4 linked regions of the Tamandua tetradactyla genome follow. The protein of the gene in region 3 binds, or shares a complex with, the protein of the main gene of each other region. Links are inferred from orthologs where the notes say so. Each region holds a gene or a part of one and is shown on either strand. Other genes may lie near its edges. The genes, in order: TIMM21, CMC1, SURF1 and SMIM20.

Region 1 (6,948 bases), on a different chromosome or scaffold from region 3:
TTCCCTACAATTTGCTCAAAGGAAATCCTTCAAGAAAAAATGAAAAGACATTATACAGTAACTCAGAGCCATATGAAGAAATAAAGGATACTGTTAAAGGTAAGTACATAGGTAGATATAAAAGCCAGTATTATTGTACTTTTGGTTCGTAACTCCTTTTCTTCTCCTATTGATTCAAAAGGCAAATGCATAAAATAATTACAAAAATATGTTAATGGGCTCATGATGCATATAGATGTAATCTATGCCATAATAATATAAAGAGGAAGGCACAGAGAATTATAGGACTAGAATGTGTATATACTATTGAAACTTAGTTGGTATTATTCAAACTAGATTGTTAAAATTTAAAGATGTTAAATGTAAGCACCAAAGTAACCATTAAGAAACAACTATAAAACACACAAAAAGGGAAAGAAGGGACTCAACATGGTACATCACAAAGAATCAGCTAAATACGAAAAGGGCAGTATTAGGGAAATTAAGACCCAAAAGACTAAGATAAAAAATAAACACAAGATACACAAAAAACAAATAGCAAAATGGCAGAAGTACCTCCTTTATCAATAATTATTTCAAATGTAAATGGATTAAAATCTTCAAATAAAAGGTAAAGACTGGCAAATGGATAAAAGAAACATACATCCATATGCTGTCTACAGACACTCATTTTAGATACAAAGACACAAAGACATTTTAAGTCTACAAGTCTTCACTTATTAATTCAACCAAATATTTAAAGAAGAATTCTAATCAATCCTTCCCAAAATCCTCCAAAAAATTGAGGAGGAGGAAACACTTCTTTACTCATTCTATGATGCCAGCATTACCCGGTTATCAAAGTCAGACAAATACAAGAAATACAAGACAATACAAGAAAACTATAGACAATATTCTTTATGAATACAGATGCAAAAATACTAAAACATAAGTAAACAGATTTCAGCAGTATATCAAAAAGGATTGATTATACACCATGACCAAGGGGATTTACCCCAAGAATGCATAGGGTGGCTCAACATATGAAAACCAATCAATGCAATAAACCACACTAATAAAATTAAGGGGGAAAAGACACATGATCACCTCATTTGGCACAGAAAAACCACTTGGCAAAACTCCTTTTTCATAATTAAAAAAAAAACAACCTCAAACTAGGAATGGAAGGAAACGTCTTTAATATGGCAAACACCATATATGAAAAACTCTCAACTAACATCATTTTCAGTGGTGAGCGAAAGAAAGCTTTCCCCCTAAGATCAAGAACAAGACAACCCACTTTTGTCACTTCTACTCAACACAGAACTGGAAGTTTTAGCCAGAGTAATTAGCAAGAAAAAAAAAAATAAAAGGCATTCCAATTGGAAAAGAAAAAAATGTATCTCTATTATCAGCTGACATGATCTTACATTTAGAAAGCCCTAAAGAATACACACACACACACACACACACACACACACACTGTTAGAGCTAATAAAAGAATTTGTCAAAGTTGCAGGACACAAAATGTGTTTTATATTAACCAAGGAAGCACAAGACTTGTATACTGAAAACTACGATACAATGCTGAAAGAAATTAAGGAAGGCATAAATAAATGAAGACATTGTCATGTTCTTGGATTGAAAGACTGAATATTTTTAAGATGTCAATACCACCCAAAGTGATCTACAGACTCAATGCAATCCCTACCAAAATTCCAAGTCTTTTTTTTTTCAGAAATGTAAAAGCCAATACTCAAATTCATATGGAACTGCAAGTGTCCCAGAGAGCCAAAGCCATCTTGATAAAGATGACTGACTTTAAAACATGTGACAGTAATGAAAACAGACATAAGGACAAAATAGAACTGACAGCCCAGAAACGCATAGATGTGAATCTATGGTCTACTGATATTTGACAATGATGCAAAGACCAAGCAATGAGGGAAGAAAATGTCTTTTCAACAAATAGTACTGGGAAAACTGGATATCCATAAGCAAAATAATGAAGTTAGACCCTTACAATATACCAATACAAACATTAATTCAAAATACATCAAAGACCTAAATTTAAGAGTTAAAACTATAAATTTCTTAGAAGAAAGTACAGGGGCAAATCTTCACAAGAGTGGACTTAAAATTTGGCATCAAAAGCCCAGATAAAAAAATAGAGATAAATTATATTTTATTAAAATTAAAAATATTTGTACATCAAAGGACACAATCACAAAGGTGAAATGATAACCCACAGAATGGGAGAAAATATCTGTAATAATATATCTGCTAAGGGCTTAATGCGCAGAATATATAAAGAAGTCCAACAACTCAACAACAAAAAGAAAAACAATCTAATCAAAACACGGACAAAAGACTTGAGACGACATTTCTCCAAAGAAGATACACAAATATAAAACACAAGAAAAGATGTTCGATCATTAGTCTTTAAGGAAATGCAAAGTAAAAAAGGAGATAGTAACTTAAACCTACTTGGATGGCTATAACTTTTTAAAAAGAGTGTTGGTGAGGACATGGAAAAAGTGGAACCCTCATACATTGCTGATGGAAATGCAAACAGGTGCAGTCACCAGAAAAAACTGGTGGTTCCTCGAAAGTTAAACATAGAACTACCATACAATCCAGCAATTCCACTTCTAGGTATATAATCCAGCAGTTCCACTTCTAGGTATATACCCAAAAGAAGTGAAAACAGGGACTTGATATTATTCACAGCAGTTAAGGTCGAAACAACAGAAGGACAGATAAAATGTGGTGTATACATCATACATCCAAAGGAATATCCAGTCACCGAAAAGAATGAAGTTCTGATGCACACTCTACCACAGGATGGATCTTAAAAACATCATGCTAAGCGAAATAAACCAAACACAAAAGGACACTCAGTATGAAATAAGTGGGATAGGCAAATTCATAGACAAGAAATAAATGAAAGATTACCAGGGCCTGAGAGAGGATGGGAGAATGGGAGGTATTAGTGGGCACAGGGTTTTGGATTGGGGGTGATGTAAAAAATTGGGGGAATGTGGTGATGGTTGCACACTTTATGTCATTAACTCCCATTAACTGTACACTTAAAAATCGCTAAATTGACAATTTTTATGTCATAGAAACGTGTGTATGTGCATGTTTACCAAATTAAAAAATAAGCCACGGCGAATCTCCCAGAGGGAACAAATAGGAAAGGGGAGTTGGGGTGATAACCAGCGAGGCGCACCGTGCAGAAGCCAGAGGGCCTTCCCTCAAAGCAAGAGCACCACCCCGCGCCTCCCTTCCAGCGCACGCCCACCGGTAAGACCTCTAAGGGCCTTCCTGACCATCACCTGAACAAAGTGGCCCCAAAGCACGTGGCGGCCTCTACTGCGATTCTCGTCGGGACACCAACACCCCCGAGGGGCCGGCTTAGGGCCCCCAGTCTGGGGCTGCGCTGAGGCTGTGGATGGAACCTGCCGCGTCCGGTCGCCATGGAGACTGGGCGCCTTCCCGACGCGCGTGCGCAGGAATGCGGCACGCACAGCGGCCGCCAAGCAATGACCCGCGCGGTTTAATGACGCAGCCCTAGCGTTATTCTAGAAACTTCTGGGACCCTTTTTTTTCCCACGCCCAGAGCGTTCTGACAGCTTGCCCGAGCAAGTCAAGCACCGCAGGTCGCTGAAAAGCGGGTCTGGCTTTTGGCGGGCCTAATCGCTTCCCATTTGCTGGTTCGCGCTGCCTGAGGCGCTGCCTGAGACTGCCAGAGAGAACGGCCCAGCCACAATTAAAATTGAGACTATCCCAGTTTACCCAGACCTCTCCAGTTAGGTGACTAGAACATGCAGTGTAAAACCGCTACTTTGGCAGCAAGGATTTAAGATCTGCTCAGACTAGGCCCGGAGGCAGCGCCAGGATTGTGAGGCGCAAGCGCAGGCAGCCCGCGCGGGGGATCCTGGGAGGAGGCGGGGACCGCGCGCACCCTGCCCGCCTTGCATTCTGGGAAATATAGTCCTCAATGCCTTCCCCACTGAGGCGCCTCAGTGAGGAGCGACGTTATCGAACTACTCTTCCCAGACTCCTGTGCGTTTCCAGGTACTTCGCGAAGGCATGGCTGGGTGAATGTGAATGTCAGCGGGGAAGGTTAGTCAGAGCGTTATAATTCCAGTGAAAAAAGGACTGATGAGAAGGGAAGGTGAACGTCGACTTCTCTGCAGAGACTTTCCTCCTAGTGTAAACTGCAGGAGCCGACATTTTACCGCACACGCCGTGGAAGATCATCTTTGTTTACGTAAACGGCCGGTTGGGTGTGTAGTCGCTTGTGAAGTTTATTGTAGTTAGCGGTTTGCCTAAGCGGGGCCGCCGTCTGTGAACATGATGTGGAGTTTTCTACGCGCCGTACAGTATACGGAGAGGCTGCGCAGGTCCTCGGGGAAACGAGTGTTTTTGCCTCACGCTGTGCTTCAGAACGCTGCCTTGACGACTGGGCCCACCTTGAGATGGGCGCTGCCAGAACAGAGGAAACCTGTGCGGCTTGGATGTACCCTTGGAGGGACCCAGAAAAACATCTGGACGCAGGGATGGAGTCCGCGGAGGGCACAGGAGGACAGCAGCAAACAAGTGTCTGTGCAGAGGAGTCAGAGCGAAGGACCTGCGGTCTCCACGGCACAGAAAGGTAAAAAGGAAAACTCCAGTAATGATCAGCTCGTCAACAAACGTGATGAAGCCCTTTTTACACAAAATTCAGAGCTAAAAATTGAAAAATAGTTCACACACACGCACACACACAAAGGTAGAACCCATTAAACACAATCTAGAATCAGAGAGAATGAATTTATTCCTCAAGTTTGAACTCAGATGTGAAAGTTGAGACTGAATTTGTTATGAACTTGTTGAATTACATCTGGAAAATTTTTTCTCAACTTGTGTTAGCTACATAACACTTTTTAGTTAAGGAAATTTGCCAGATGTTATTTCATCTCATTTGAGTCTCCATGATTCTTTCAAGTAGAATTTAGAACTTTTCCTTTTATGTGCCAGGCATACCTCCGCAATACCACACAACTGAAAATTAAATGCATATATTTCCTGTGTCAGTTTTCCTAATATCCAGGCTGGTGTTCTTCAAGACAGCAGTTCACAAGATGAGCTTCCACCGACTCTATACTTTGTACTGGGATGGGTGCTGTTTTAGTTTGTTAATGCTGCTAGAAATGCAATATACCAGAAGTGGGTTGGCTTTATAAAGGGAGTTTATTAAGTTACAAATTTACAGTTATAAAGCCATAAAAATATCCAAACTAAGGCATCCAGAGGAGAAATGCCTTGACTCAAGAAAGGCCGATGGAGTGTGGAACCCTTTGTCAGTTGGAAAGGCATGTGGTTGGTGTCTGCTGGTCCTTCAAGCAGTTTTCCCAGGGATGTTTTCTTTCTGCATCTCCAAATGTCTCTGTCTGTGTCAGTTTTAAATTTTTTCAAAACAGTTCCCTCTTAAAGGACTCCAGTAAGTGACCCACCTTGAATATGAAGAGACACATGTCCTTGGAAACAACTTAATCAAAAAGATCCCACCTACAATTGGGTAGGTCACATATCCATGGAAACAACCTAATCAAAAGAAACCACCATAAATAGTAGATCTGCTCCCACAAGAGTGGATAAGGAAAAAGAACATGGCTTTTCTGGGTACACTATAGTCTCAAACCAGCACAGGTTCTGATAGCTGTGCCAAGGAAGTTCTATATGGAAATAGCTTACCTCTTAATTGGGAAGAAAATAGCTACAGGACATGAAACGAAGAGTGAAAAAAAGATTAATTGTGCTACATAGAAAAAGTACTAGACAGCGTAGAATAAAAGAGTGATTAAATAGATTGAAAATAGATACATTGGGTAATTATCAATATGGAAAACTTTGTAGTTCAGACTCAATAAACATCTCCGATTAGTAGCTTTGTGTTCATGAGCCCATGAGTTGGGGATGACAGAAACTGCTAGGTTCTGTATCCGTGGTTTAGTACCTTTTCCATAGTGAAAACTTTCTGGTGGGCATTAACATGATTCAGTGAACTTCATATGCTTTGGGCCCATTCCCATGGGTCCATCCCTATGCCTTTCCCCCAGATCTCCTGTTCCCTTATCTTCTAGTCTTTCTCTTTCCAAGTCCCTGATGGAACAGCCAATATATTTGTACCTCAGGCTACTTACTTACTTTTCCAAAAAAAGTGAATGACCAGAAATGTCCATTGGAACAATTTCCCTTCATCTCCGTCTTTCAGAGCCACCCCTGAATGAAACAATCATGCAGAAGCAGTCTGTTTTCATCTTGCTCCCACATAGCAAGCCAGCCCATCCATGAACCAAGTTTGGCCTTGTTGCTCCTCTTTTGCCGGTCATGGGACCCCATTCGTGTGAGCTGCGGGGGAGCTGTGCTGGCAAAGTAGAGTGAGGTCTTCTGCCCTTGCCGAGGCCCAGTCATAGGTGTCCACTTCTATATGGCAGTGGAAGCTGCTTGGACCTGCCCAACTTCATGACTTGCAATTGCACTGTGGCTGTATGCCAGATAACCTAAGCAAGGCAGGGGTGAATGTGGTGCAGGGGCAGTCAGGAATCCAGGGCAATTGAAGTGAAAGGCCTGAGCCAGGTAATAGGAAAGAGTATGACAGCTTATTGACATAGTTGTCATTGTATTCTCAACTTGGGTCTCGGCACACAGCTGGCAGAATACTTATTAAGCATATTTTGTGACATCAATAGAGAATGACTGGTGGTTGTGAGTGTATTTGTTTTCTTAAATAAAATTTTTTTTTTAAATAAAAAAAATAGAGAATGGAATGGAATATTCTCATTGTAGTTCTCTCTACTACTGAACCTTGAGAAAGAGATTGGCTCTGTGGTGGCCTTTATCATCTGAATCAGTCCCATGAATTACACAGATTTTGGCAGATGCAGTGTTTTGTTCTGTTTTGTTTTGTTTTTTAATCAC
Region 2 (7,706 bases), on a different chromosome or scaffold from region 3:
AATGTAGCACAGTATAAAGCAAGGGGTTAACAACAGGGTGGTATATAGGAACTGTGTAATTTAAGCATTTTTCTTTAAACCTACATCTTCTCTAATAAAAAATTAAAAAACAGTCAAGTAGCAAATGTGAACAAACCTAGGCTTCAACTTATGAACAAACAAAAATGAGGCTTTAACAAAAAAGAGCCTAGCTTTGATGTATTTATATTCTTAAATTTACACAGGCAAGAAAATATAGAAAAAGTCTTGATTCTTGCTGTTTCCACTTTCTTACCTTCCACTCTTAACCCACTCCAATCTTGCTTCTATCCCTGATTTTGCTGAAGTCTCCAAGAATCTTTATGTTGTAGATTTGACCTCCACCATCTACTCAGTTGATAAAGTAAAAAGTCTGGAAATTATCCTTATTTCCTCCCTTTCCTTCACCATCCTAATCCAAAGCAACAACAGATCCTGTCCATTTCTCCTTCAAAACATAAAATGAATCTTACATTTCTCTCCATTTTTTCTAATGCCATCCTATGCCAAAATGGTAACATATTTAGCCTAGACTACTACTACTGTCTCCCTGCTTCCATCATGACCCCCTTCAATCTATGCTACCACTGCAGCCAGCACACTTTAAAGACATAAATTATATAGTGTCACTGCCCTCTGTAAAAACCTTCAAAGGATTTTGATAACATCAGAAAAAATCCAAATGACTTATCATCATGCTTCCAAGGCCCTGCAGCTTCCAGCTCCTGCCTATTTTCCCACGTGTATGACAAAGAGCAGATTAGATGACTTTGAAGATCACTTTCAGTTCAGAAATACCAGAAATATACGGACCTGAACTTTCCTTATGGATCTCCTCCCTACTCTGGCCCTCATTCTAGTTCAATACTTCAAGCATTTGCTACTTCAACTGCCTAGCATACTTTGCCTGGCTCCTGACGTGGTTGCTTCCTCTTATCCTTCAAGTTTCCATTCATATGACACTTCTCATAGAGCTCTTAACTATCTAAAGTAGCCTCTCCTCAGCATCTATCACATGGTCTTGCTTATTTTCTTCATAATGTTTACCACAATCTGTAAAGGAGGCATAGGGGTGTTGTTTTCTTTCATCTATCAAATTATTCTGAGCAAGGATCTTCTGTGTTCTATATACCACTATTTCTTAGGACCTAGAACAATACCTGCAAATACTGAACATTCAAAAAGTATTCGTTCAATTAATGAATATTTGAATGGTAACTTGGCCTATAACACTGGACTGTGAATAAAATTACCTGGATTCTATCCAGACTTGGCTCTACTGGCAATTAGCTGTGTGGCTTTGGGCATAACAAGAGATTGCAGGAGATTAAGAGTGACTTGAAGGTACGAGAGTGGATACAAGTATGAACATTTTTTTCTAAATTTCCTTATCTGTTTAAATTCAAGAATATGGATGTTTTGAAGCTTTTACCCTCTCTGAGTCTCAGTTTCTTCATCTGTATGAGAAAGAGCAGATTAGATGACTTTCAAGGTCACTTTCAGAAATACCAGAAATATATGGACCTGAACTTTCCTTACTCCTTAATTATATCCCTCTCACACTCAACAGCAAAATGAGAGTATTCACTCTGCATCTAAACATTACACAGTGCACTTTAATTCCTATACCTCTGTTCATTCTGCTACCTCTTCACCACTGGAAATTCCATCCTTCAAAGCCCAGATTAAATGCCAACTGCTTAATAGAGCCTGATCCAATTACCTACCCTAAAATTAGTAAAATGATATGCTCCTGCAACTCCTTTATGCTTCAGAGTACTCCTTCATCTTATCACTGACTGGTAAATTAACCTCTCTGAATCTCAGTTTCTTAATCTGTAAAATGGAGACAGTATATACCACGAAAGGTACTACTGTTGGATAACTGAGAATACTTAACGGGCTGGAAAAGAGTGAAATAAATGTTTTACTTCTGCACGATACACAACTTTCATCCTCCTTGAGGGCCACTAAAGTGTCTTTTTCATTTATGAATGGCAAAGCCATTTCACCTCCTAAAGCTTTGGGGTTCCGTATCCATAAAATGAAGGAAATGGACTAGGTCAACTGCCTCGCTCCAAAAAATGATGCTTCATATCTATACATAAATAGCTTAAAGCAAAGACATCGCAGGTGTGCGTTTGCAAGGAGGGTGTCTGAAGTGCAAATGAAACTCCTGCTGCAAACAGAGGTGGGGAAGAAGTATGAAAATTAAGTACCATTAAGACTTAGGGAACCTTTCCCAAGAAACTGACTTGCCACAGTGACTATGTCCTCTAAATTGGGGTTTTAAAATTGGGTTCCAAGGATAAACTTGGGGGATGTTAACTCCCGAAAAGGAATGCAAAATTGTGCATCTGCAGGAATAATGCAAATTTTTTCGAGACGTTAAGTGTCTATACTAGACATCAGATATTTAAAGGAGACTGTGCCACCCACCCCCCCAAAAAAATACAAAGAAAAAACATAAAGGAGACTGTCCCAGAGGGCGAAGTACAGGATGACGATGAAGAAATCAGCCGCGTTTAAGAAGAAAATGTAACTGGACCAGAGTTTAGATCACAAACCTAGATTTCCTCAGTTCCCTAACTCCAACTCCAAGGCGCGGGAGAACGAACCACAACCCTAAGTAGGAGGCAGGACCGGCCAGAAACCCTCAATCAGTCGCCTGGCGTAAGGTGGTGTTCTGCGGAAGCTGTGCAACCCCAGAGCTCGGCACCTTTCCCAGGCCGACCCCCAGAGAGCACGCCCGCGGCCTGAGACCCCGGGCCGAGGCCCCTCAGCAACCCCCGCTCCCCGGTACCTGCGGGGTCGAGCGCCATCTCAGCGGGCGGAGGAGGTGGCAGCCGCTTGGCGGCTCCCGGGCAATGGGCGGGGAGGGGAGGGGCCTGGTCCCAGGCGCACGCAGAGCCGCCCTAAGCGTAAGAAGGAGCGCCGCGTCCTCGGCGAAGCTGGGCAAAGTTCTTTTCTCCCTTCTCTAGTTCCTACTTCCGCCGCTCATTGCGCCTGCGCCGTCTTGGGCCCGCCCCTGACCCTCTTACTCCCGGGTGGAACGGACTTCTCACCGGGAATGACCCCGGGCAGGGGGCGTGGCCGGCTGCAAGAGTCTGTCTAAATCCGAGCTCTTCTCGTGCCTGCCTTCGAAGAAGCAAATGAATTACCCTGTTCCTTTATTTATTTTTTTTTTTTTACTTAACGTACTTCATTCATTTCATGCCTGCCAGTTTGCTAGCTACGGTTCTGAGTACTAGGGGGAAATAAGTGAATAAAAATAAGGTCCCTTAAAAAAAAAGAAAAAAAGGAAATAATGTCCCTGTTCTCAAGGGGCATAATGTTGGCAGGGGAGTCAGACAAAAACAACATGCTGTTAAATGTGATAAACGCCACACACGCGAGAGGTGCACAGCGTGTTCTACCATAGAGGTGGAATGGTGTGTGCGGTACCATTATTTCTTCCTCCAAAACAGCAGGCTATGCCTCCCCTAGAGGTTAAAATAAAAATCAGGACGCTAAGGACACCTCTCGTGAAATAATATCCTCTGGGCCTACAGTCCGTTTTCAGTGGCAATTACATTCTCTTAAATCCCGATTCTGTCCATTAAAGCCGTAAGTTTTGTGAGAAAACTAAAGGAAGTTTATGGCCGCCCTCCTATCGACCTGCAGTTGCCCTATTCCGAGTAGCAGTAACTTTCTCGATGGCACTGTGCACATCCCAACTCACTAACCAGCTTTCCGAAGTGCTTCCTTGTCAAATCCACGTTTAACTAGCTCGAGCCTCCAAAGGGTGAAGTGCGGCCGGGGACAGATGGGACAGATGTTTAGAAAAACAAGGAGCAGCTGTTTTTTCCCTGCGAGGGATTTAGGACTTTCAAAATGATCCCCTCCCCACCTACCTGCAGTGCCTCCTCCCCTACTGCTGCTTCCGCCTGGTCAGTTGGCAGAAAAGCTGACACAGTTGAGCAGGGCTGGGAAAGTGGGTCTCTGCTCAGCAGGTCTTCTGTTTAAGGGCCTATGCGGGCATAACGGGCCTTATTACAGCTGTAGGTTGAGGTGCCAAGGTGCAGAATTAGCGTTTCACTCAGTCAGGCAAGAAATCCGGTCCTTTTCCTTGTGTGCTTTATAAATGTGCTGTAGAAACACCTCGAAACTCTTATTTTTCTGGAGGTAAGGGATTTAATTTAGAAAGCAAATCTTTTTGATGCGATGAGGCGGGGTTGTAGAAAACCACAAGCCGGACACCTCCACTCAAGCAATTAAAGTACATCGAGATAAAGTGGAAAGCTTGAAGAGCTTGGGTCCAAGAGACTTGGGTACCTGACCTTGAATTCTGTATCATGACCTATTTGTGACGTGAAGAAATTTGAGTGTTTCTCTGGACTTATGATTTCTAATTTGCAGGGTTGCTGTGAGGAATGAGTCTGATCTAATGCACCCAGTTTTGGTCATTTGATGATCCCTTCCATAGTTTGTGCCATAAATATCACTTAAGCATTATAATTTAACATTTTCATTTAAATTAACACACTTTTAAAAAACTTAAAAGGACACTATCTACTTTAGGCTCATCCCAAACAATAACATCTGTAAAATCATGGGAGTTTTGTGTGTCCAAGAAAATGGGTGGCTAGACAAAACATACTATGAAAAGCAATAGCAAAAATATCACCTCAAAGAGAATTTGGAAAGCCAGGGTAGGTATAAGTGAAACTGGAAACATTGAAAGAGGCTACATTCCCAAAGCCTCCAACGTTAGGCTGAGTGTTTTTAAATCTATTGTAATAAGCTATCAGGGGCTATTGAAGGTTAGCAAGTAGATAAATGGCATGATGTGCAAAGTGATGTTTTACACAGATTTTTTTGCAGGATGGATTCAGGTGTTGAGAGAGCCAGAAGATTAGCAGAACAATGAGAAGGCTATCGCAGTAGTTCAAGCAGGATCTGATGAGAGTGTAAACTAGGATAGGTAGAAATGAAATGAGAAAAGATGTGAGAGTAATTGCAAAGGAAGAATCTATAGCTCATCACTGAACTGAGAAAAAGGGACATGGAGTCAAGAAGGATTCTCTCTGTGATTCCTTTCCTTCGCAACTGAATACAGACAAATGAGAAAATCATGGCCATGTGCACTTTCATGCCTCAAATGATCTCTCCTAGAGGGCAAAACAGAGAGGTCAGTTAGGAAGCAGTTGCAGGAATCCAGGGGAATAATGACACTAGTTGAACTCCCGTACAGCCTGTGAAGGCAAAGAGAGATGGGGTATTTAGTATGTAGACCGTACATTAAAAATAATAGGAATGAATAAATACAAACTTACATACACATATATATTTATTAATCTAATATCCATGGAATGTGCAAATAGAAACAAATATCTTAATTGTTTATCAAGTCAGTTCTGACTGGATCTAGCATTCCTTTTTTGTTAGCTATTGAAATCCAGTTAGTTTTCTTTTTTAATTGAGATTCATCAGTCAGCCTCTGCCTGCTTCCAGTTCTGCCCAGCATCAGAAGTAACAATTTTTCACCTATAGCTCTGTTCTACCGTGTCCTTGAGCCAATGATAATTAAGTTTGGAAGAATATTAGAAGTCACATCCCTACTAGTAAATCGAGTTTGGAATGAAGTATTGGTTATAAGAGCACTATCCAAGAATCCCCAGTGGGTCCTGCCTGCTTTCTGAGCTGCATGATTTAGCCCTATCCACAAGGCCTAAGCCCTCTCCAAGTAAACACAGTTTGTATGAAATTGACATTCAAGTTCTTTACAAGGACTGGAATCCTTATGTGAATCCCAACTTACTTGGCTACAGTCCTAAAAACCTGCCTAGTTTTAGCCTTCCCCCAAAGCAACATACTTTGTCCCTGTTTGTCCTGGTGATTGAATAGGGTCTCCATCAATCTGGATCAGTCCACCTATTGGTGACTGTGGTAGTTAAATTCAGTTGTCAACTTGGCCAGGTGAAGGTACCTAGTTCTGTTGCTGTGGACATGAGCCAATGGTACATGAACCTCATCTGTTGCTCATTACATCTGCAGTTGGCTAAGAGTCGTGCCTACTGTAATGAATGATGTTTGAGTTAATTGGCAGGTGCTTAAATGAGGCAGCTCAACATAGCACAGCCCAAGCAGCTCAGCATACCTCATCTCAGCACTTGAAGCTCAGCCCAGGCTTTTGGAGATGCAGAAAGGAATCACCCCGGGGAAAGTTGTTGGAACCCAGAGGCCTGGAGAGAAGGCCAGCAGAGTTCACCATATGCCTTCTCACGTAAGAAAGAACCTCAGTTGAAAGTTTGCTGCCTTTCCTCTGAAGAACTATATGTCAACTAAATAAATCCCCTTTTATTGAAAGCCAATCTGTCTCTGGTGTGTTGCATTCTGACAGCTAGCAAACTAAAACAGTGACTGAATCATATCCCTCCCAAAAGATCTAAGGTGTATGAACCCATTTGTACATAGGGCCTTTGAAGATGTTATTATAAGTTAAGGTGTAGACTCATTTATGAATAGGCTCTTTAGAGATCCTAGTTAGATGAGGCCAAATTGAATCAGTGAAGGCCTTGATCCATACAACAGGAGTCCTTATAAGGCAGAAGAAATTTAGATGCAGTCAGTCAGTAGAAGCCAAAAGTCAGAAGTTAGATAATGAAGCAAATTGTCTCATAACAAAGGCAGAGAGATGCAAGTGAAAGAACCCAAAGGATGACAGACAAGCCAGCACTAGAATGCTACAGACTCAGAGAGAAAGCATGGCTGTTGAAACCTTGATTTTGTACTTCTATCCTGCAAAACCATGAAACGATGAATTCCTGCTCTTTAAGTCAACTTATTTTATGGTATTTGTCATAGAAGCTCTAGCAAACTAAGACACCACCTTTCTACCTCAACAGCTCCTGTAGGTCCTTCAAAGCCCACATCCGTTAATCACAACATCCACTCAATTCTCCTTTCCTTACTTAATATACGTTTATTTCATTTACAAGCCACACTGTCACAACTCTTAAAGTCTATTCACTTTTGCATAGATTATTACAACAGCCTCCCAACTGGCTCTCTGTTTCTAGACTTTTCCTCCTCCCATCCCATCTCTCAAATCCATTTCATCCACAATAGTGCTTCCCTTTAACAAGGTTCATAAAACTCTTTATAAACCAATCCCGGCTTACTGCATTATGCTTTCATCATAAGCCTCCTTGAACTGTGAAATTTCTGCCAGATTAAACTATTTGAAATAGTTTATTAAAATTTAAATGCAGATTTTTCTATGCATTATCTGAATAATACAGTTGAGATTCTACTTAACATTAAAATTTGAAACCAATTGCCTAAGTGTGTAGGGGAAAGATAGGAACTTTGGAGCTAAACAATGGTAAATGCTAACTTCTTCACCCCAACTTTTGCCTTTTAACTTCTGTATTGAGTATAATTTATATACAGTAAAAAGCACAAATTTCTGTACAGCCAAATGAGTTTTTACATATGTATACACCTTCAAACTACTATTCAGGACAAGATATGAAATATCTTTAGTAGCCCAGAAGGTTCCCTCCTGTCTGGTCCTCATCAAACCCATCCCACAAAAGTAACCACTCTCCTGACTTCTGTGGACAATGATTAGTTTTGCCTGTTTTGGAACTTTATATAAACATAATTATGCACCATGAAGTCTTTCATATCTGGCTTTGTTTGCC
Region 3 (7,504 bases):
AGTTTCTCCAGCTATCTTGTATTAACCCAGCTGTTTCAAAGAGCTAAATCTCTTAGGTTTGCAGTGATGGCTTTTGAATTTCTTCTTCAATGAACTGGACTGCTTCTGTGGCATAAACAGAAAATCCTATTTGTTAGAACCCTTCTGATCCTAAGATGTTGGGCTCTGTGAAGTCAGGGCTCCCCCACCCCCCATGCAGAGAGTTTAGTGTGACAGTTGTCATCTTTCCTGCCACAGCTTAGCTGCTGGATGGAATGGCTCCAGGGGACACAGGAAAGGGCAGCCAGTGGCGCTTTGGAACTTTGCAGCAAGACCCGTTCTAGCCTAACCCCACTGATTTATCCTTGGGGACAAGAACCTTCATTCCTGCCAACTGCAAAGGATGGCATCTAGTAATGGGGTTTCTTCTCTAGGATCCTCTGCTACAGTGGCAAAGAAAAGCAAATCCCAACTCCCATTAGGTGGTTTTGCTTTTAGACTGGTGGTTTCAGCCTGTCCAGGGAGCCAGGGCTCCTTGTAGCTGCTTCCAGGCAAGCGCTAAGCAAAGTAACAGCTTTTGCTTAATCATAGCAGCCTTGGCTGGTGTTTTCTTTGTATACTGTTAAGTTCAGGGTTCCATTTGCTTGGGGACCTACTGTTTCAAAGAACTTGAAACTCACCTTCCCGCGTTTCCGGTCCAGCGCCGGGGCCACCCCAGTCTCCCCTGCGAGCCCAGTGCCTTCCTCCCCAGCATCATCCTCACTTGCCATCAAAATGACATTGGTGTGGTCCCCATTCTCAGTCCTTCCTGGGGCCTTCTGGGTGAACAGCTCGGCTGGAAGGAGCAGAGGGAGCACGCTGAAGCTTGAGGGATGGACATGCAGTAGGAGTGAGAAGGGCCCAGACCAGAGCCAGGGATGCTGGTGGGAACCCCAGGACTAAGCCACAGTGAAGTGTGAAGAGGAAGTTGTACTGGGCCTGGCCAGGTAGAGAGGGCCTATGCTGCTTACGTGGGTACAAATCTGTCATGCTGTCATCGCTCTGGGCTCCTTCCTCGTCACTGGATGCGGGCTCCCAGAAGTGTGCTCCTCTGCCAAGCGACCCATCGCTATCTGTCTGGCCTTCCCTCCTACTCCTCTTGTGCAGCAAACAGGCAGGGACAAACTCCACTCCCTGCTTCCGGCACTCTTCATCTGGGAGGTAAGCACATGCTGCCTGGCACCTGGTGGCTCCCTCGAGTCCTGTGCATCCCCAACCAGACTGTGAACAGGGCCCTGGCACCCCTACCCACTGGGGCAGCTCAGAGCAGTGGCAGGCACACATCCTTGGCTCAGTTCCTGCTAAGTGTGCAGGGAGAGTAATGGGAGCCCAGAAGTCAGCATGGGCCCATGCGGCCATTGCCATCCTATCCCTCGTTCCAGCCAAGAGATAGAGGCTGGGAGCAGTAAACAGGCACAGACAAGAAGAGCTGTCCCAAGGGAAGGCGGACGTGTGGTCCTCCAGCATAGTCGGGCCTGCCACTCGCCCTGGCCCACCTTTGGCTGAAAGCAGTTCGCATTAGTCTCCCACAGAAGGCCCTCACCAGGACCCCCACTGATGCCTTCCATGCTGCCAACCCAGGGAAGCTGGGTCCCTGGTGTGGAGAGGCAGTGAGCAGAGGCTGGGTAGAGACAGCCCCCTAGGGGCCACTGTGGCTCCCTCACAGGGGTGCAGCACTAGGTCAGCCTGGGCACCAGGACACACCAGCTCCCTCTTCCTGCTTTCACCCCTCACTGGCCAGTCCTGCAAGGCCCTGGTCTCTAATTTCCCTGCCTGCCTCGGTCCCACCTTCAGGTGCCTGCGCTCCACCCCACCACAGCCTACACTACACCTCCCTGGGGCAAGGCAGCCAGGCCCCATCACCACCAGAAGCTGCACACGGACCTGGAGTTGTTCTTCGGACATCCTCGGCCAGGTCTCTGACTCCAGACCATTGTCCTAAAGTGGCCTCACTTCCTCCTTGTTTGGTCTCACGCCCCTGGTCCATCACTACAACTCGGTCCTTCCCTCTTGTCCTGTTGAACGCACTGCGAAAACCTCAGCCCTGAGCCCCCACCTTCCTCCTTCCTATGCCCCAGAGCAGCTGAGCATGCCTGGAGAAGACCCACCACCGGCTCTCATCTGGAACAGCGTGCTCTGCAAGCTGCCTGTTTTCTGCTCCTGAGAGGCCCATGTCCTGCCTTTTTGACCCTCCTGCAGCTTCCTCTGCTTTCACACTCAGGCAAAGACTGGCTTTCCATCCTTGACCCCACGTGGCAGGCTCCCGGGATGCTCACTCACGCCCCCAGGCTGTCTCACAACGCCACCACAGCCACCACAACCACCCTCGCTGGGGTCGCCAGGGCCCTCCAAATGGTCAAACCTCACGATATTTCTGTCCTCACCTTCCCTTCACCAGCAGTTGATGGAATCAACCCCTTTTCCCGGAGACCCTCCTCAGGCCCTGAGGCACCACTTTCAATGGGGTTCTCCCCCTCATGTGGCCCCTTCTCTGCAGTGCTCGGACCTTCCCCTCCTATGCTCACCCCAATGGGGGACACAAGCACCACCTCGGCCTCTATGACTTGTGGTATTGGAGTGTCTCAAGGACACTCCAATAATAGACCTGACCGAACATATCCCAAGGAACCTTAATTCTCACCACAAACCTGCTATTCAGACTCCATTCTGCTGCCTTGGTTACTGATACTCCCATCTACCTGAAGCCGGAAGGATCGAAGCAGATCATGCTCCATCCCTTGGTGGTCCTGGCCACGGCCTCCAAGGCCCTCTGTGACCCGGTCCCTCAAGCCCCCTGGCACGCTGCCACAATGGCCGTCCTTTGAATCTCTTCTGCCTCAGACCTTGTCCGGCCCCTCTCCTGCCCCTGGAGCACTGTGGCCCTAGCCCCATGTCCCTCAGGTCTCCACCAGAAGAGAAACCCTGGAGATCCTTTCCCACCCTGTCCAAGGTAGGCCTCTGGACACCTGCCTAGCACCGCCTTCTTTGCAGGCATGCCACAACTTGCAATTAGACTTCCAAGTCTGCTTCCTACACTGCACCCGTGCTTACTAAACCAAGCTCTCTGGGGCAGGACCACGGTCCACTGTCCTCTGTGCTTGGACTGGACCTGGGCACTGGCAAAATATCATGGAAGAATGCCCAAGATATCACCTTTGTCTCTGAGAAGTGGCTCTCTCTGTCACCCCGATATCTGCACTGAGAGGCAGGCTGTGTCCTAAGCACCCTCTGATGGAGGGTTCCTCCCCGCCCTCCCAGGCTACTCACATCTGCGCAGCGCCCTCTGGAACCGCCGGCCCTGGGTGTGCCGCAGCACGTGCTCTGGGGACTTGTTGATGTGTCGCAGGGTGAGCCTACAGAACATCTGGTGCCTGAGGGCAGGCAAAGTACAGTTGGAGGGCACAGGGACAGGTCATCAGAGGGCTCCCGGCCACCCCCAGTGGCTGATGGGACAGTCTGCAGCACAGCCTGGACACTGGGCCTTGCAAGAACTCCCCACCCAGTCCACCCCGCAGCAGAGGTGAATCACAGCTGATGGAGCCTTTTAGCATTTACCTATAAAATAGGCAGACTTGAGCCTCCTGGAATATTCCAGGGAGAAAGAATGCCTATTCACGACCTGACAGAGCTGGCAAAGTGCTCAACAAATGGGAGAACTCATCACCACCGAAGTCTCCCTTGTGATGCTTCCTGTCAACCAGTGCTCTCGGCTAAGCCAGGGGAGACGTGAAACCCAACACTCAGCATCTCAGGAGACGAAGCACAACCCTCATGCCCCCCTCGGCAGCAGGCAGGACACGCACGACAGCCTCGCGTGACAGCACAGGACATATGCTCCCCGGGCCCAGGGACCCTCCCCCTGGAGAACTGGTTTTCCTGGGAGAAGCGCTGACCCCGGAGCCCGAGGCCCGGCTCTGGACTCGGCCAGGCACTTAGGCGCTGGCCAGCCGGGTGCCAGCGGCCGTGCGGAAAGGTGCTGGGGAGACGGGGGCACCGGCCTGCGCGCCCCGCCCCGCCGCCCTCGCCCTCCCCGCGGCGCTGCCCACGTACGGGTGCTTGGTGCTGGGCACAATGTGCGGCTTCAGCTCCGCGTAGTCGAAGGACGGGCAGGCGCGGACCAGCCGCTGGTATTTCTTGCCGCTGGTGTAGACCTGGAGCTCCGGCAGGCGGCACGGCAGCTCGTGGCCCGTCAGGGAGCACCTCACCTGCGGGCGGGGCCCGGGGCCGTCAGAGGGGGCCTCCCCCGCCGCCCACCGGTCCCCCGGTCCGTCCGCCTCCCCTTCCTGCCCCGCCGCGGACCTTGGAGGCCCCGGGCTCGAGCCGCAGCGCCGGATGCTCGCGCAGGAAGGCCCGCACGTCGGCGTGGAGATCGACCATGGCTCGCAGCGCGCAGCCCGGCAGCTTCGGTTTTGCGCGGCGGGGAGGGACTCGGCGGCCACCCGGAACCGGAAGCTCCCGCGCCCCGGAAGTGTTCGCGGGCCGCCGGGTGCCATGGCGGCGGCGACGAGCTGGCTGGGGCTGCTGCTGCGCACGGTGTGCGCTGGGCCGAAGCGCGGGGGCAGGCGGGGGGGTGGGCATGAGACCGGGTCCCAGCGAGGGGCGGGCGGGACCCGGGCGGGCTGCGCGCCAGGGAGGGGGAGGCGGCGGCCGTAGGAGGGGAGCCAGGTCATCCCTTGTCTCCGCAGGCCCCGGCCGGCGCAGTCAGGAAACGCCTCTTGGGGGTCCCCGCGTGCCCAGGTGAGGATTCGGCACAGGGTGGATTTAGGGACCGAGGAAGAACCACCCGACTTTCAGCCCCTTCTTCTTAAAGGGGCGACCTGGGGATTAAAATAAATTCCGTAACCACCGACTGAATGTAAGCTCCGTGTGAAAGGGTTTCACCGTGAAATAACATTCTAGATTAAATGCCTCGTTATCAAGCCTCGATTATGTGCCCGGCGCCATAACGAGTGCTTTGTCCTCACAGCAATCAAGGGGAGGGAGTCCTGTTATTCCAGTTTTACAGATGAGGCTCCAACTAATGAGGGCCCACCTGAGATTGGAACCTGGCCTCTGAGCTTCAAACTAAAGCATATGTAAACGCCACATTTCCAGACTGCTTCTCCCTCCAGGTCAAGGGGCACTTTGTTCCCAGGAAAGTGCTCTGTACAAATAGGAGAGGGTACTTTGCCAGCCTGCTGCAGGCCTGCTTTTCTGTCATCTGAATGTCATAATGCTTTCAGCAGATGGGACTTGCCTTCTGAGAGCTTAAATGTGTCTTCTGTGTACATTGTTACATCTTTAAATTTATGTTGAACAATGAAAAAGAAAAGCTATTAAGAGAGCTTTGTAAACCACTGTCCTGAGTTTATGGCTGATACTTATTTCTCTTTATAATACAATAGCCAGTGGTGCCTGGCACATTAGCTGTTTAATAAATGTTTTTGAGCAAGCAAATCCCTAGTGCATTTTAGTGCAATAGAATACGTTTTAGTGTATTCATGAGCAAAAAGGCATGAAGTGGTCACTTATTTACTCAGGGTCAAGTGGCAGAGCTGTAACTAAGTCCTGGGTCTTATTTATTTAGTCAAACAAACATTTACTGAGCCTTTGCTGTGCTGAGCACTGGGTTAAGAGCTGGGCTGGATGCAGTGCTGCTCGTTGGCTCTTAACTGCAGGTTTTGATCTGTTCATTCCTCTTCCACATTCTCAGGCAACATTGGTGGTGTCTTCTTAAGAAATTTCTGCCCCAGTTCTATTTATTTTGGGGTTTCTGACCCCGTGCCAGTATTGTCAATTCAACAGTGCCCAACGCTCTCTTTTTTAAATTACAAAGGCATATACTTTCAATTGCAGGTAGGGGTTGTTTTTTATACAGGCAACTCTACGCATGTTCTGGGGTGGGGAATGATCCAGTTTTACCTAGGTTTTTGTTTTGTTTTTATCCCAATTAGGGAAGTTGTAAGTTTACAGAAAAATCATGAAGAAAATGGAGTTCCCATATGCCTCCCTCTTCCATTTTTAACATTTTTGCATTAGTGTAGCACTTTTTCCAGCTCTTTTGCTTCCTCTAGGGGTGGCCTGGAGGCTAAGCAGGTGTGGCAGTTCTACAGCAGAAGCACCTGCAACAAAAGCAGAGGATGACTCCTTTTTCCGGTGGCTCCTGCTTCTCATCCCTGTAACAGCCTTTGGCCTGGGAACATGGCAGGTAGAGTGGTATCTAGGTCGGGGGTTGAGGGGGGCAGGAACCAGTCCTCTGAGCTCTTGCCTCCCTGCAGTCTGCTCAGGAGTCTGCTGATGCTGTTTCTTAAGGTCCAACGTCGGAAGTGGAAGCTGAAGCTGATTGCAGAATTAGAATCTCGAGTCATGGCGGAGCCCATATCTCTGCCCGCAGAGTAAGTGTGTGGCTGCCTACCCTGAATGGGGCTCACTTGAGGCCAGCAGCAGAAGCCTGACTTCTACTAGCCACCTTGCCCCCGTTTGCCCTCAGATGGGAGCCCTCGAGATCAGTCTTTCTGCTGGGCTTCCTACTGAAACTGAACTGGGAAGCTGCTTGATCTATTCAGAACCTTCTCACCTGGTTTTAACCTTTGGTCAGGTGCATGTACATAAGCCCTCCTCTGTCCCCACCCCAGTGCTGATGGCTGTCCAGAGTAGTGATTCTTAGCTGGTGGGTGAGAGCAGAGGAAGCAGGTCTTAGCATGAAGGTATTATGAACAAGTGCCCCAAGTGATTATAGTCCTCCCCACATCATTTAAAAGCACTGTCCTAGAGGGAGCGTTGTATTCAATAAAGGTTCCCATTGTTTGACTTGCAAATGGAGCTTTGACATATTTTACTAACTTTATGTAACACTTTTGCACAGGAGTCCACACTTTTAGCTTCTCTTGGGAAAGTAGACTGTTTGGCAGCAGATCCTCATTCCCATATGGCATTGCAATGTTGGAGCTGAGGTTCAGCCATCCTTATTAGAGGGCAGACCCTGTGGTTTAAAGGTCCCTCCATTTCCTACTGCCTTCCCTTTTGACTCCTTGTCCTGCTCTTTTGGGTTTGTAATGTACAACATAAGCGTTAGAGGGTTTGTTTTCCTGTCCAGCCTTGCTTAGTCTGAAATCTGTTTATGCTTTTCACATAGCTCCACAGAACTGAAAGATCTGGAGTACAGGCCAGTGAGGGTCAGGGGGCACTTTGACCACTCCAAGGAACTGTACATGATGCCACGGACCATGGTGGACCCTTCCCGGGAGGCCGGCCAGATCTCCTCCTCCGCCAAGAGTGGTGCCCACGTGGTCACCCCTTTCCACTGCTCAGACCTGGGGTGAGTAGCAGGTATGGCAAAGGTGATACCAGGGCACAGTGACGAAGTTGTGGCAGAAAACCCATTATCATTCTTTTCTTCTCATCCCTCAACCTTCGTAAGACATTGGGGAACTCTCAATCCAAGAAAGGTTCAGTTCCTTGAATTGTCAAGTCTGTAATTCTGTTACTTGTTAAACCATCTTTTTTG
Region 4 (7,112 bases), on a different chromosome or scaffold from region 3:
GGATCAAAGGGAGGACAGGATCAAGTAAGTAGGCCTTGATCTTGAAGGCATACTTCAGGCATGTGAGGTTGGGGTTCAGCAGGGAGGCTGGGCCTAGAGGCCTAGCTCTATTAGTCATGAAGATCTTAGTTAAAACTGCAGGGGCATAATATGACAAGAGATAAGCCAAGATGGTTATTTGGGATATACTCTTACATATAAAAGACAGACCAAAGAAGAAACTTATCTGAGTCATAAGTATTTATACAGATGGGTAGGAACTTAGAAAGTCATTGTACCCCCTGAAAGCAGGAAAACATTTCCCCTACTTATTCTCTTATTCTCAAAAGTACACATCCAGAGAATCCCACCCTGTTCCATCCCCCAAGTTTCTAGTCTGTTTTCCTGCACAGATTAATGATTCTTCTTGGGAATCCACAATATTCTAAAAATACATCAGTTGGGCTGCAATGCCACAATTAGTGGAGCTGCTGTCCCAGGAAACCTTCTTCACCATTCTGCTTAGATCAGAGAGTGGATTAACTTTGATGTCTGTCTGAACCCTGTAAGAGACACCACTGGCGGTCTGCTCCCCACCAGCACTCAATCTTCATATTCAGGAAGAAGGAGAAAGTGCTGGATAGGAACCTAAATCAATTTTTTTTTTTTACTGAATGAAATGAAAATATGCACCCTAGGATTCTTGACATATTTGACTTGCATCCTCTTTCTCTACATCCCTTGGATGCTTTCTCCTTTTGCATAAATGCCTTTCTCCAGACCCAAACTTCCTCTGCTTTCACAAACATTAGCACAGCTATGCAGCCACCAGTGCTTCATCTATGGCATGTGTTGGAGGTAATGTTCATTTCTACATCCATCAGAACTCCTGGTGGCCACCAACTGAAACAAGCTCTGACTAACTTAAACACAAAGGGAGTTTGCTGGAAGGATATGGAGTGGCCTGCAGAACACAGTAAATGATCAAAGAGTCAGGCAGCAAAGGGAAACAGCCAGGGAAGCTCCAGGATTATTGGCAAGTGGGAGATATACAAAAATCTCATCTCCACTACAGCACTGCTATCTGCCCTAGTGTCATCATTATCATGATTCCTATCTCTGGGAGAGAAGAACAATTGAACCAGGATGGATCATTTGCAACTACAGGCAACACTAGTTTGCTGACTTTGTAAGGCAAGTAAGAGCAGGTCTCCAGAGCCAGACAAGCTGGGTTTGTCTGCTTACTGGGTCTGGTGCTTACTAGTCATGTAATTTAGTTTCCTAAGCCACTCCAGCAAATACCAAGAAATGGGGCAACTTGAACAATGAGAATTTATTAGCTTACAGTTTTGAGGCCAAGAAAATGTCCAAATCAAGGCATCACCAAGGCACAACTTTCTTCCTGAAGACCGGCTGCAGGTACTCCTAGGCTCCTCTGCCACATGGCAAGGCACATGGCGGCATCTCTTGCAGGTTTCATTGATTTCAGCTGCTTGCTTCCGTGGTTTTCTTTCCCTCTCTCTGTATTAATTCTGTTTATAAAGGACTTCAGTAACAGAATTAAGAGCCATCCTCATTGTGTTGGGCCATAGCTTAACTGAAGTCGTGTCATCAAAAAGTCCTACTTACAATGGATTCACACCCACAGGAATGGATTAACTTTAAAAATATGTTTTTCTGGGGTACATACAGCTTTAAACCACTCTACCATGTGACCTTGGGAATGTCCTTCTTACTATGTCTCAGCTTCCCCGTCTGAAAATGGTACTTATCCCCAGGTGTTGCTAAGTGCTGAACGAGTAAACCTATGGTAATAACTGGGAAACGGCAAGTGCTCTGCAAGTTCTTATTAGGAATATTGCCTAGAAGTGTACAGGAGACCCGAACTTATAGTCCAACTGAAAATTTCAACATGACAGGAAATCCCCTGAGAGCAAATCAGGTGCCAGTTTTTGGGGACACTGAGTGACCAAAAAGCAGTTACTATTCACTGCCACGTCTTATCCCTCTAACAGAATGTAGATGCCACAAGGACAATAGACTGTGCTGTTTTACTCACGGCTGCATCCAACAGCCCCTGAAAAGTGCCTGGCGCATAAGGCCTAGCTCAATGACTCTTCATTAAGTATATGAATGTTGACCAATTCCTTTTGGTGTTTCCAAGCATCTTTTACAGTGCTTTGCCTGGAGGAAGCACAAAATAAGTATTTGTTGTCTGAATTTACAGGTCAGTGGGGAAATAAAAATCGAAGAGGGTGGTTTTCTCAGAAATGGAGAGAACACTGTGATGGAAGAAATGAACTTGCCTTTTGTAGGACTCGTTGGCAGGTAAGTGATAAATAACAGCTTTTTCTTTGGTGCCATGATGCTAATAATCTGCACAAATGGTATAGATGAGTTAATTACTTTTGCTGGTCAGACTAAAGTCTTAAGATCAGCGTGAAAGGGACAGATAAACCACAAGTCACTTGCAAAACACCCTGGAGGGGATGGTGGCTTATTTACCACATGGGTTCTGTGCCCTGCCTTGGAGGTGCTTCTGGTAACTTGCCAGGAAGCCCAGATCCTATGGCACTCTCCATACAGAGGCCCCAAATATAACTTCAACATCTGGTTTCTCTTCCTCTCTCAGCTCTCCTTCTGCTGTGCTGAGTCCATTCTCAGTCTCTAAGTGGTGGTTAGGAAGTTTGGCCAGGCTTGGTTAAATGCTTAACTCTTAGAGCTGGGAGAAGTAAGGATGGGGTCTCACTCCCATGGACTGAAAGTGGGAGAGGAGTGGTTCACCAAAAGATATTTGAGGTATTATTAACAGTCAAAAGGGAATGGATGCTGGATTGCTAAAATGACAAATGTGCACTCCCCCTGGGTATTCCATAATATGTGATATAAAGTATGTGTCACAGGTTCACTCTTTTCCATGAAGGCTTCTATCTGCACCATTGCAAGCTCCTCCAAGTGCCTGAGGAGCAGCTGTCTCATCCATCTTCCTATTCTGAACCATATCACTCATCTTCAAAAAGCTCCATCAGGTCATTAGTTATCTGTCCTGTCTCTTCAGCCATGCAGAAGGATCCTGGAGAGCAAAGGTCACGTCTGATCCATCTTTGTGTCCCTGTAGCACTTTGCCTGATGTTTGGGGCAAGGCAAATAGTCCATACATGTGCTGACAGATCGAACAACTAATTTATATGCTTCTGGAACCACAGAGGTAGATGGTAGCGTGATTCAACTACAACACTACCAAAAATGAGGAAAGCTGTGCTCTCCATATCATTTCTCAAATATATTAGATCTTCTTTAGGCTAAACAATGCTGGTGGATCAAAATAAATTTTTCCTTAGCTCCTCAACCCCAGCTACTGGTATCATCCTTATGTATAAGGGGCTGAGAGAAGGTCCAAGGAATCTTAGTCCTCCTGAGCAGTCTGCCAGGAAGGGAGGTGAGGTGAAGAGGGTGGGGGGTGGTGGTCAAAGGAAGAGGAAGCAGATGTCGGTTCTGGGAGACCCACACCCCACAGAATAAGGCAGCGCCCGCGAGGTGGGACTGGCCGCGGGCTCTGCCTTGCACTGACCCCTGCCTGAGTCTCATTGCAACCCTGGCATCCCAAAGAGCAGTATAGGAAGAGAGGAAAGGAGGGAGAAACGCAGTCAGTAACACCAGGCAAGTCTTGATCCAGGGGTCTCAGTGGCCCCGGGTTTCCCACAAACTACCCTCTACAAGGCCAAGTGACCTGTCCAAGGCCGCGCAGCCGAGCAGTGTTTCCCTCACCGGTCAAAACAGGCCCACTGGGGAAAGAACGAGAGAGCGTGGCTGGTAAAGGAGGGCCTGACAAAGGGGGTTCGGAGGGTGATAGGTGAGGGAGAAACCTGAGGAGTCGTGAAGGAGGAGGCAGGAGACGGCATGCGGGAACCAAGCGCGGTAAAAGGTCAAAGCAAAAACCGCACCTGCGCGGGGAGCGAGCGAGTGTAAGGCGGTGGAGGGCGTACCGGGCCCCGCCCCTCCTCGCCCCTGGCCCCGCCCCTCCTCGCCCCTGGCCCCGCCCCTCCTCGCCCCTGGCTCCGCCCCTCCTCGCCCCTGGCTCCGCCCTCGACTCCAGGCCAGCCCCGGCCGGCCTCCTAACTCCGCCCCCAAGACCCGGAAGCGAACCGGAAGCGAAAACCGCTCCACCTTTTCCCAGTAGGGTCACGGCCCGGCGGACGGGAGCCGGGGTTCCGAGACTAAAGAGCGCTTGGCGGGTCAGAGCAGCCCGTTGCCCGGAGCCATGTCCCGGAACCTGCGCACCGCGCTTATATTTGGCGGCTTTGTCTCCCTGATCGGCGCCGCCTTCTACCCCATCTACTTCCGGCCCCTCATGCGGCTGGAGGAGTACCGTGAGTGACCTCTGACCCCGCGCGGCGGCCTTGAGCCCTGTCACCCCCACGCCCTCCCCTTCGCCCGCTGCACCTGTTGCGGAGGAAGGAGGCAGGCCAGGGTTCGAATCCCGCTCTGTGCAGCTTTGTGGCCGTGGACAAGTGATTTAACTTCCCAAACCCTGAGCGTCCTTATCTGTAAAACCGGGAGAATAATAAGAGTGCCTTCGGGGCTCTTGGGAGGTTCAAACGTGATAATCATGTATGTGAAAGGAGTCTGCACATAGTAGGTCGGCGGCAAATACTACGTCATCCTCATAGTTAACGTTCACTAGAAGTCTGTTATGTGTCCGGTTAGGCGATGCATTTTAATTTTCCACAGTCTGATTGGTTGCTGATATTATCACCCCGTTTTACAGATGAGGAAGTTGAGACACTAAGAGATGTGGTAAAACTAGTAAGTGGCAAGGCAAATATGCCAAGCTGGCTTTGTCCCCAGAGCCTCATCCACACAGGGGAGCTAGGAGTGGTGGTCAGGCGGGGAGGCAGAACCCTGATGATCTTGAGCTTAAAAGGTATTTTTATTGTTCCTCATTTCCACCCCTAAAGATGTCTTTGAGTGGAAATGTTCCAAACCTGAGCTGTTAACCTGGATTTTTTAAGTTCTTCTCCTTTCTGCGCTTAATATTTTTCCTGATTCTACTGTTGTGGTTTTTTTTTTTTCTTTCTTTTTTCTTTTTTTCATTTTAAACTAGTTGCTCACAAGACAATGGTGAATATCCTGGGAGTAATTTTCCTCCTTAATCATTCAAGTCCTATCATTCTAAAAGCCAAACTCTCCTTCCCTGAGACCTATACCTCAGCAAGGATTAGCACTTTGATATATCTGAAACCATCTGTCAGAGAAAAAATATTAGGCATTAGAGGCTCATTTTGTTCTCCAGGAAACCTGAATCATCTTGTAGATGGAAGAAGGCTAACCCTGCCCCTTGAGAATATTAGCGGAGGCTGAAAGCTTGGCGATTTGAAGGCGAAAGCTCCATGTAAATGCACTGCACATTGCAAAGGCTACAACACTTTGTTTCTGGAGGCAGAGTGTTTTAAGTACACATGTAGATTTCCCTGGCTTTTTTTTTTTCATCATCCAAAGACTGAAATGGCCTCTGTACTTTCTGCTCTCCAGCATATCTCCCTGCACTACTGTGGGGGTAAAAGTGGGGCTGTCAGAAACTCTGCCTAATCTTATTTCCAACCTCCTTTACTGGGTCTTTATCCCAGGCTATTTTATTACAGCATCTAGAGTTGAATTTGGGATAAGGGGGTCTGCTTTGGATCCCATTAGAAAGGTTTGATCAGTTCTTAACTCCGGTGATTTTGCCCATGAGGTGGACATACGTCTGGAGACCTTTTGGGTTATCACAGATTTGGGGGGAGGGTAGCCTATTGCCTGCCCACTTTTCTGACCCAATTTTAATTTATTTGGCCAAGTTTACTGGAAGTCATAGCTGGAAGGTAATACTAAACCATGAATACTTGTTGAAACTTTGCTGTTTGTCTGGTGCTCTTCTAAGCATTTCATATGTATGTTAGGTCATTTAATTCTCAAAACAACTCTGTGGTAGCTTCTATATGATCATCATTCCCATTTTAAATGTGGGGAAACTGAGGTATGGAAAACTTAAGCAACCTGGACATGGACCCACAGCTGATGAGTCCCAGATCTGGGATTTGAACCAGTACCCTTAATCAGTACAGTATAGCACCATATTACCTCTCTAAGGGCGTAAGAAAAGAGAGTAAGGCTGAGAATAATCTGAATTAATCCCTTACTAGGTGGGTGACCTAAAGTCACTTAACCTGAGCCCCTCCTCTTTCCTCATCTGTAACAGTACAGCTTACAGGACTGAATTTACAGGTTGTTGTGTGAATGTAATGAGGTCAAGGGTGGGGAAACATCTAGTGTAGTGCTTATACAGTACTTATATTAAGCATTCCATTAAAGCTTTTGAAAAATAAGGAACCATAGGCAGCAATGTGAGATGAAGAGATTTAAGTACGTGGGCAAAACCCAGAGTTTGCTGACCAGGTAGTAAATCGGGTTCGTGCAGGTGGGGCATTCATGACTGCATCATGGGATAGAGCTTCAGTTCATTTCAACACATTCAACCTGTATTTATTTAGTCTCTTTTCACTCATTGTTTTATTGTTTTTATTTTTTTTTTTATGGCTCAAAACTTGAATAGCGAAGGTTCATGCTCAAATATGAGCATAGGCATTCTCAAAGGAAGAGAAGCAGTCTGAGGCCAGGATCCTTGCATTATAAGGACTTGGAGGGGTCCTCTCTACTCTAGCAATGCTAATAAGGGATTGCTGAGCTGTACTTTTCATTGGTCATTTTCAGGTGCTAACGTGAGCAAAGGCTAGGTGTGTGTGGGCTAAGTATGTGGGGGCTGGATATGTGTGCCAAAAGGAGCTTTTTGATATGGGGTTTAGGGTCACTTCCCCCTCCCTCCTTCCGTATCTAACCTGCCTCATTCTGCACTCAGAGAATTCCGTCCCTCAATCTTAAGGGATGCTGAAGGGAGGAGTTCAGTCTCTGTAACTACTTCCTGCTGACAGAGGGGGCATTGTCCCTGCTTAAATGGGAGCAGAATTCTCTGGCTATCATATCTAATGATTCTTCTGGGAGGGTATAGGGGTTTTTGCATCTTTCTTGTTCTGGTGTCATTCCTTGGTTGTCTGTTGATGTTTTACAAGAGTGTTCAATCTGTACCCATGTCTCAT

What was found.
Region 1: SURF1 (region 3) and TIMM21 share a complex: the UniProt entries of both Homo sapiens proteins name them as parts of the MITRAC (mitochondrial translation regulation assembly intermediate of cytochrome c oxidase complex) complex. The link is inferred for Tamandua tetradactyla from reciprocal best matches to the Homo sapiens genes SURF1 and TIMM21.
Region 2: SURF1 (region 3) and CMC1 share a complex: the UniProt entries of both Homo sapiens proteins name them as parts of the MITRAC (mitochondrial translation regulation assembly intermediate of cytochrome c oxidase complex) complex. The link is inferred for Tamandua tetradactyla from reciprocal best matches to the Homo sapiens genes SURF1 and CMC1.
Region 4: SURF1 (region 3) and SMIM20 share a complex: the UniProt entries of both Homo sapiens proteins name them as parts of the MITRAC (mitochondrial translation regulation assembly intermediate of cytochrome c oxidase complex) complex. The link is inferred for Tamandua tetradactyla from reciprocal best matches to the Homo sapiens genes SURF1 and SMIM20.

What each region holds. Positions count from the first base shown.
Region 1 is NC_135344.1:8,310,527-8,317,474, reverse strand, and holds the start of TIMM21 (mitochondrial import inner membrane translocase subunit Tim21), read left to right. Parts: upstream 1-3,934; 5' UTR 3,935-4,338; coding exon 4,339-4,639; intron 4,640-6,948. Other genes in the region: FBXO15 (F-box only protein 15), read right to left, coding at 3,318-3,460. UniProt on the Homo sapiens protein: Participates in the translocation of transit peptide-containing proteins across the mitochondrial inner membrane.
Region 2 is NC_135341.1:60,023,921-60,031,626, forward strand, and holds the start of CMC1 (COX assembly mitochondrial protein homolog), read right to left. Parts: upstream 3,002-7,706; 5' UTR 2,841-3,001; coding exon 2,822-2,840; intron 1-2,821. UniProt on the Homo sapiens protein: Component of the MITRAC (mitochondrial translation regulation assembly intermediate of cytochrome c oxidase complex) complex, that regulates cytochrome c oxidase assembly.
Region 3 is NC_135328.1:133,183,535-133,191,038, forward strand, and holds the start of SURF1 (surfeit locus protein 1), read left to right. Parts: upstream 1-4,489; 5' UTR 4,490-4,509; coding exon 4,510-4,551; intron 4,552-4,703; coding exon 4,704-4,755; intron 4,756-6,071; coding exon 6,072-6,205; intron 6,206-6,309; coding exon 6,310-6,392; intron 6,393-7,132; coding exon 7,133-7,315; intron 7,316-7,504. Other genes in the region: SURF2 (surfeit locus protein 2), read right to left, coding at 22-105, 660-814, 990-1,172, 3,286-3,389, 4,069-4,223, 4,318-4,395. UniProt on the Homo sapiens protein: Component of the MITRAC (mitochondrial translation regulation assembly intermediate of cytochrome c oxidase complex) complex, that regulates cytochrome c oxidase assembly.
Region 4 is NC_135345.1:26,179,683-26,186,794, forward strand, and holds the start of SMIM20 (small integral membrane protein 20), read left to right. Parts: upstream 1-4,108; 5' UTR 4,109-4,240; coding exon 4,241-4,349; intron 4,350-7,112.